Ovis aries: one gene and its partner. The protein of the gene in region 2 binds, or shares a complex with, the protein of the main gene of each other region. Links are inferred from orthologs where the notes say so. Each region holds a gene or a part of one and is shown on either strand. Other genes may lie near its edges.

Region 1 (3,810 bases), on a different chromosome or scaffold from region 2:
GATTAACCGCCCTATATTCCCAGAAAATTCACATGTGGCTTTAACGTGACTCACTCGGGAATGGAACTAGATACACGGAAGGACTCTATATATTCTGAGACGTAGAAGTGAACGACTAAGAGAGGCACTGCCCAGGGCCCTGGAGATGCTCTATAGCTCTCCAAGATGAACCTCAGGCCCTTCCCACACCAAGGCATGGGGCTGACCTGCTGCCCACCAGAGTTCCTAGAGGCCTCAGAAAATATTTACGCACAGTTGGCACCATTTCCCCAACAGATGCTAAGTTCTCAGCACAACCTTTATTTAGGTCTTTCTACTTCTGAAAGGAAACCAAGAAGGCCACTCCACTTACATTTTTTAGGAACTCCTCAGCCACAATGCGTGCACGGGCATTGACAGACAGCTTCATCTCACTAATTTCTTTGTCAATTTCCTCCATGAAGTGGATCACAAAGTCCACCAACTTGTGCTTATACATCTGCTCTGTGTGGAAGTTGGTGATCAGAAAGCTGATGTCATACCCCTAGGGAAGAAAGACAGTGGAGAGGAGAGAGAGAATCAACATCCTGGGGAACTTCACTGGCCAGCCCTCTATGTCACTCAGCCACATGCTTCCAGCTGACCTTCTCCCAAGTGACACACCCTTCAGGCAGCAGCCCATCTGCTCTGGTGGCGGTGTGTATGCTGGTTCCAAGGAACTAACAGGTGGATCAACTGATCCCAATTGAGAATTTTGTCTGGCAGACTCTCTGTGGTATAAACAGTTGTGTTCAGAATGAATCAAGGGAGAGTGAAAGGACTTTAAATCTTGTTATAGAAGAATCTCATCAAACAACAGGAACATTTAGTCCAGAGAGAAATGAAGATGCTGTGGGAGAAGGAGGTATTGAGGTTTTTAACTATGGTTTTTCACTTTTTCAGACTGTGTGTAGAAGAGCAATTTTATTTATTCTTAGTGGCCCTGGAGGTTAGATCTAGGAACAGGAGAGATTTTAGCTCAGGATGAGGGTGAGTTTGGCCAACAACTAATGTGTCTGACAATGGTGTCCGCTGCTCTGCATGGTAGTTGCTTAGTCACTGACCGGCAGGGAGTTGAGCAGGCAGAGAATCTGTAGTGAGAGCTCAAGTACAAAGTCAGGCAACAAGTGACCCCATATCAACTGTGGCCTTGAGAGACTGACTCAATTGGTGGCAAAGTTTAGAATTCTGATTCATCATGCCCTTTCTGCCACTACACTATAGGCTCTGGGAAGGTCAGCAATGCACCTCATCTTTTTTGGCCTTTTCCACAGCTGAGACAGACTCAACCTCCTATAAGCTGATTCCCCTTATTCTTACTCTAGCCGAAATGAAGACCAACTCTCAACTCAGGCTGTGGGTGCCCTACAGCGTGGGGAGCAAGCAATCCCAGTTTTAGAAACAATCCCAGGCCACTGACAGTGGACTCAGTAGTGGAATTCTGGGTATTACCAACACATGGATCACACACCTCCACTGGTTTCCTTCGGAGGATAAAGAAGTTCTCTGCTCGCATCATCATGAAGCGCATGAACTTGTGACACAGAATCTTCTCGATTTCATCAGCCTGGTAAGAACAAAGAAGAAATGTGTTTCCCTAAAGTCATTCCCTAAAGGCCAACAGAAATTTGTAGCCTGGTCTTCGGAGCCCAAATTCCCCTATGCTCGCTGGAGACACTGGGGTTGGGTATTGAAGTCTGAATCACAAATAACTGGTTGCCAGCTAAAAGGAAGGTCCACTACATGAGAGCCCTCCAACTTAATGGGGCATTATCATGATCTTGCCTTTACCCATTCCAGAAAGGTAACTCTGACAAACCCAAATCTTATTTTTTTTTAACTTCAAAACACATTTTGGCTACATCGTGTGGCATGCAGGATCTTAGTTCCCAGACCAGGGATCAAACCCAAGTCCCCTGTAGTAGAAGCCCAGAATCTTAACCACTGAACCACTAGGGAAGTCCTGGCAAGCCCCAATCTTTTATCCAATCCTTCCAGAATCCATATCTAGATTCAAATCTGCCCTTTCCAGTCTCATTTCACTAATGCTACATCTTCCAGTCAGTGATACACACTATGAAGTATATCAGATAACCTTAGATGGTCTCCACTTTAGTAACAATGAACATCAAACAATTCCCAAAGTTTTCCCCTAATGAACTCTCAACATTTCTGATGAAAGAATTTTGTATTACGGGCTGGCAAGACCTTAACAGCCCCCAATATTTATTCATCTCCCCTTTTAACAAAGAGCAGGCACTAGGGATAGAGCTTTCTGGAGGCAAAAGTCTTAACTCTGCTTTATTTTCAATGTGCTTGCATTTTAGTGTTGTCCTCAATTTGGCAAGGCATATTGTTTTTCTTTTTATGGTAAATTTAAGTAAAAAAAAAAAAAGTTAATTGAAAGAAAATATTAAGTAAAGAAGTAGCCAAGTGGTCCATAAACATGGAAGAAACGATGGGGGTAGTGGGAATGTCAGACATTTGTGAAACAATGAAGAAACATGAAACTACACTTCATTTTCTTACCCTAAATCTCACTTTTGGAGTTTATGGCTATCAAACTGATACCATTACTACTTGTTTGTCTGAACTGAACTTATTCTTCACTCATTAGGAAGAGTTTTATGACCTGACACCAAACTGGCCCACAGCCCTGGCTGCTACATTACCTGCTGTCTAATCCAGAGCAAGCCTAGGAGAGAAGGCTGATTTCCCTTTATTCTACTGATCTGGTAGGTTTAGCAAATCATTTCCTGGAAAGAGAACCTGGGTTTCTTTGCACCCTGAATCTGGCATGTTGACCTCTTACATAGGGGATCCCTGGCCTCCCCGGGGAGGCAGGGGATCTGGGGTGAGCTCACCTGTTTCACAGCAATGCTGACCCTGACAGAGTTGATGGAACCTTCAATCAGAACCTTTTCCTTTTCATTCCTGCTGATGGTCACGGGTTGTAGCAGGAGCTCTTTGCTACTCCTGAGAACACAAAATGACAGAGGTACTATAAAAGAACAGAATGGTCAGGGAGGCTCCACGGCAGGTTCTAGAATCACAATCTGGGACCACAGAGTCCAAGGAATGAGACTCACAAGCAGGGGTGCTCCAAGATGGGGGCCAGAGAGCATGTTCTCCAGCAGAAAGAGCACAGGCTCTGGAGTCAGGGTGAAAGGTTCTGAAATTCAGCCTCCTTTGTTACTTCCATTGGGCAAGTTACCCTGTTGGAATTTCAACTTCCTCATTTGGAAACAGATCAACAAGGGTCAAGTGTGTAACAGTGAGCTGGCACATTGTAGGAGCTTTACAAATGACAACTCCTATTTTCATAACTATAGGGAAACCCATATACTGTTTAGGGAATGAGAGCCTGCCTTAGAGATAAGGCCAAGCTAAAATCAAACAGTTTGGCCTCCTTTAATAATCAAAATTATGACCCCTCTCAACTCAGTTCCCATTTTGATGCCTCTGGATCCCTCAGACGGTAGTTAATTGTATTGTTGGTGTCTGTGAGCTATTATCCTTTAAAATGCCTAGTGGAAACCATATACATTAAGTAGCATAACAGGGCACATTTTAACATGATGTCAGCTTTCTTACATTCAAATCGTATCAATTTACTGTGGTAACAATCCTTATCTCAGTTGTATATGTACCAGATTAAACATCAAAGGGGAAAAAGAAAAACTTTTTTACAAAACAAAAATCAGATAAAATAATCCAAAGTATAGAATATTTGTAGTAGGGGATGGGAGTCCAGTTGTTTATTTGTTTTTTGAGGGGAGGGATCCTTGATCT
Region 2 (4,395 bases):
TTTACATGTGTTTATCAAAGGTCCAATTTCAATGAGCTATCTTCTATATGCTATTAAAGTTGAAGGTGTAACTTTCCAGGATTTGTACTAATAGGCAACAACAAAGACCAAAATGCCTTCTGAAAACCACAATAAGTATATATCTGGAACTTCCCTGGTGGTTAACACTCTGAGTTTCCAAAGCAGGGAGCAAGAGTTCGATCCCTGCTCAGGGAACTAACATCTCACATTCCGCATGGGCAATCAAATTAAAAATAAACAAATAAATAAACGGATCTCTAAAGGTGGAATTTCAGACAGTGACAGATGGTAAAAGAAAGTAAGAAGAATTCTTAGATCAGTTTCATTTAAATCATGACTGTCCAGCTAACACAACCTCTCCCTATGAGATAAAACTAATGTAGTAATATAATTAATAACTGATCATTAAAGCAAAAATATCCTAAGTACAAGGGGCTTCCCAGGTGGCTCACTGGTAAAGAATCTGTCTACCAATGCAGGAGACACAGGTTCGATTCCTGGGTGGGGAAAATCCCCTGGAGTAGAAAACGGCAACTCACTCCAGTATTCTTGTCTGGAAAATTCCATGGGCAGAGGATCCTGGCAGGCTACAGTCCACCCGGCCGCAAGGAGTCGGACACAGCTCAACAACCAAGACTGGGCAGCATCCTAAGTACAGACTGAACCCCCTCCCCCACACCTCATGGTAACTCAGTCTGTGTTTTAAATTCAAAGCTGCCCTATCAGAAAGACACTTAAGGATAGTTAACCTCAAAGAAATACCCAGCATACTAATTCAAACGTAATCAAGATTTCAAAAGGGAAAAAATTAAATGAGAAAAAGTTAACACCTTACCTAAGATATTACCATTAGGGCAACAATTATCTACACTAATTTTATCGACAAGGCAATAATTACTAAAGCATAGAATATTAACTATGTAGCAATATTTTTCACTGTAACAAAACATACTTGAAAATTCTTTCTCAGTCAAGCTGCCAAATCTAATTTTAAAACTGACCCTAAACATAAAACTACTCCCCAACTGGACTAAGAAGGAAGGCGGGAAAAAAAAATACTGATTCAAGCAAATAAAACTGGATTAAGAAAAATAATCACCTATCCATCAAAAATCTACATAGAAGTTTCATGGCTAAACAACACTGGTTTATTATTATATTAATAAATCGGTTATTTCCTTCTGCACGGCTGGGATTTTACAAACTGCCACACTTTCATAAAGGTATGATCATGAGGATTATAGAGAAATTTCACACAGAACAAACTGAGTGAGGAGTATACCATCCTTTAAGTAACAATAGTTCGCTAAAGAGTAAAAAGGGAAGGGAAAGGCTGACAATCTACTTCTCATAACTCCGTCCAAAATTGGGGGAATTGGAGAAGTAATCATGTATCAGCACAGCATTCACAAGCACAAGAAAACACTTCCAATAGTGAAACATAAAGCAGTCACTCTGCATTAAAACACAGGCAATATTTTCTACGATAGTATAAAGTGTGCTATAAACGCCTATTAATACAAAAGGAACGACCACTTCCACACCGTTATATACTTTAGTAAACTACACTGCAGATCCATAATAACTCCTTGAAAAGCAAGTACCTCCCTTTACAACTCTATTACCTTCCTTCTCTCCTTAAGACACGGTCACAGAATGAACCTATACAACTTAATTTTCCTGGGTGCTTCACTTCCTTCCTCTCAGTGCAACGCAAATATACTTTTTAAGTTCACAGAAATTCATACCTAGCACCAGTACCTCAGCCTATTTGAAAACTGCTTGATTTTGAAAGTTCTAATAAGATGTGTTCAGGTTGGAAACGAAAAACTACCTTATAAGGGTATAAAAGACTGAAAGCAGGAAGCGGCTTTGACAAAACTAAGGAAGTTGCAGCGCGCTTGCTCACTGGGGGACTTTTTTGAGGCAAGAGAAGTAACACATGACATCTTTCTCTCAAATTAAAATGTGAGTTGGTTGGCCGGTAGGAACGTAGTGGGAGATGGAAAAGACCGGGAGTCGAAAAGGAAGAGGAGGTGGGTGGTCCAATGAAAGCCCCGATCTAGGTTCCCATTTTCAGGGTCCGATTCTTCCCTTTCCCCTCCCACACCCCGGGTAGAATGTTGTCACAGCAATCTTGCAAAACCTACAAGGAGCGCTTCTCTTTTCTCGCTCCTTTGCCCGGCCAGTCCCCGCGCTCCATTCCCCCCGGTCTCCAAACCTACGGGCAGGAAAGGGCACCGGGCAAAGGAGGGTCGGCTGTGCGGGGCTCGAAGACCACCCCCACGCGACCGCGGGCCCCGGGGAGGCGCCCGTCCCCGCAGCCCCTCGGGCGGCGCTGCCCACCGCGGTGGGGGAAGGGCCGGGAGGGGTGGCGCGGAGGAAGCCGCTCCCCGGGGTTTCTGGGCCCCGCGCCGCCGCCCGGCTCCCAGAGGGTGCAGCGCGGGGGATGAGGGAGGCCCTGACTGCGGGCCCCACCCCTCGCCACCCGGCGCGGCCCGGGCTGACACAGCCGGCGGCAGCACCTTGCCGCTCCATTCATCTCCCGGCCTCCTCCCGGCCCCGCCATTTTCCTGCCTCCGCCTCAGTTTCCCCACCCCCGCCCATCAGCCCCCTTACCCCGTGCCACAGTCCACCACACAGGCCGGCAGCCGTCCCGCCATCTTCCTCCTCGCCTGCTGCTGCTGCTGCCGCCGTCTGCTCCGTGCCGTTTGGGGCCAGGGATGGGCGGCGGGAGGTGGAAGCTATCTGACCATCCACGGCCGGGCCACCCTCTCCGTCTGGGGGGGAGCCGGGAAGCCGAAGCAGTAGCGAGAGAGAAGCAGGCTCGGTCAGCGGCTACCACTTCCGCAACCCGGGCAGGCAGGCAGTCCCCGCCCTGCCCCGCCGCGGCCTCCTCCCCCTCTCTCTCCCCTCCTCCTCACTCCTGCCCCCACCCTACAACTTCTTCCCCTCACACCGCCTTTCCCCGGGAAGCCAAGATGGCCGCCAGTGCCGACGCCCCGGCCAGGACAGGCCTAGGCCTCGAGCGCTCCCCCTTCCGGCTCCGAGCGGGCGGGGCGAGAGAGCATGCGCACTGAGGAGCGCCGCCGGCTGCCGCTCCCATTCCGAAGGTGAGGTAGTCCACTTCGGGTGTTCTCCAGGTAGGGTTGGGTAGGTCTGCCCGAGTCTCCAGTTCTCCTTCTGAAGCTGGAAGGGGTTTTTCGTTGCAAGTACTTCTGCGCTAGGTTGAGGAAGCAATGGAATCGCATTCCACAGCCACAACTATCTTCCGGTGCTCCGACGAAAACGGCCTAATTGAAAACCTTGTCAGCGGCACCCATCCGATTTTATATCTTGAGCGGCTCCTTTTCTGGTTGGAAAAGAGCTATATCAGACGGAGGGTGAGCCGTTGGAGGAGAGAGGAACAAAGGCTTGCACCGTGGCTCCTCTGCCTTGGTACTGTTTTGTTTTGTTTTGTTTTCTTCAGTTACACTTACGCATTGTTACAACGTGGCACATTACAAGTGTTACTGCAAGGGTTAGATTGTAGGCCACCCGGAGGGCAGGCCTGTGCCCACGAGGAAGGCACACCTCACAGGAATGTAAGCCTTTGGTGGCTTTGAATGAGGAGAAAAAAGTACTCTCCGGGGTAGTTTTAGGTTGTACTATTCTACTTGCAGGATGAAACGACGGATTAAGGACCAAACTTTTTAATTAAAAAAAAAAAACTAGAAAGCCTAGAACAGTGACATTTAAACTTCTCAAAGTGTGCATCAGAATTCCGTGGAAGGCTTGTTAAAGCACAGAATGCTGGACTACATCCCTTGAGTTCTCTGATTAGGTGGTCTGGAGTGGGGCCTAGTAATTTGCATTTCTACCCAGTTCCTAGGTGTTGGTCTGGGACCTCCCCCCACCTAGGAAACCTATAATATTAATAGCTTTTTTCTCTTCTGGTTTATCTTCTGATAAACCATATGGATTCACTTATAGGTGACTGAAATAACATTTTTCCTAAGAAAGGATGTCTGATTGCTTCAGAAGATAACATAGAGTGGTGTTAGACCAGCCTGGGCAATGGAATTTAAGCTTTTCATTCATTTGGCAAATAAGAATTGCTCACCCATTCTATTAGGGCAGGGACTATGCTGACCATTAATATTCAGTAGGCACAAAATGAACAAGTTCTCTCCACTGCCGGGTTTACAGTTTAGTGGCAAAACATACAAACTGTATTAAGAGCAATAGAAATTATAATACAGAGGGCGCTGAGAAATGGGGAGGAGGGGTGAGTGAATAGGAGGGAAACAAAAGTTAGGAGAGACTTCTCTGACAAAAGTGAAAGTCTCTCAGTTATGCCTGACTCTTTGTGACCCCATGGACTATACAGTTCAT

The links.
Region 1: the proteins of ACTR3 (region 2) and ARPC4 are in contact, whole or in part, in a cryo-EM structure (PDB 6YW6), measured with the Homo sapiens proteins. The link is inferred for Ovis aries from reciprocal best matches to the Homo sapiens genes ACTR3 and ARPC4. Residues at the interface, in NP_005712.1 of Homo sapiens: Lys53, Gly54, Val55, Leu58, Glu121, Glu124, Tyr125, Glu128, Glu132, Tyr400, Glu401, Pro405, Arg409; in NP_005709.1 of Homo sapiens: Lys89, Arg92, Phe93, Met96, Arg97, Glu99, Asn100, Arg156, Ile159.

Annotation. Positions count from the first base shown.
Region 1 is NC_056072.1:16,888,631-16,892,440, forward strand, and holds part of ARPC4 (actin-related protein 2/3 complex subunit 4), read right to left. Parts: intron 2,995-3,810; coding exon 2,883-2,994; intron 1,586-2,882; coding exon 1,490-1,585; intron 524-1,489; coding exon 314-523; 3' UTR 1-313. UniProt on the Homo sapiens protein: Actin-binding component of the Arp2/3 complex, a multiprotein complex that mediates actin polymerization upon stimulation by nucleation-promoting factor (NPF).
Region 2 is NC_056055.1:178,988,676-178,993,070, reverse strand, and holds the start of ACTR3 (actin-related protein 3), read right to left. Parts: upstream 2,899-4,395; 5' UTR 2,685-2,898; coding exon 2,641-2,684; exon of another isoform or gene 1,929-2,640; intron 1-1,928. UniProt on the Homo sapiens protein: ATP-binding component of the Arp2/3 complex, a multiprotein complex that mediates actin polymerization upon stimulation by nucleation-promoting factor (NPF).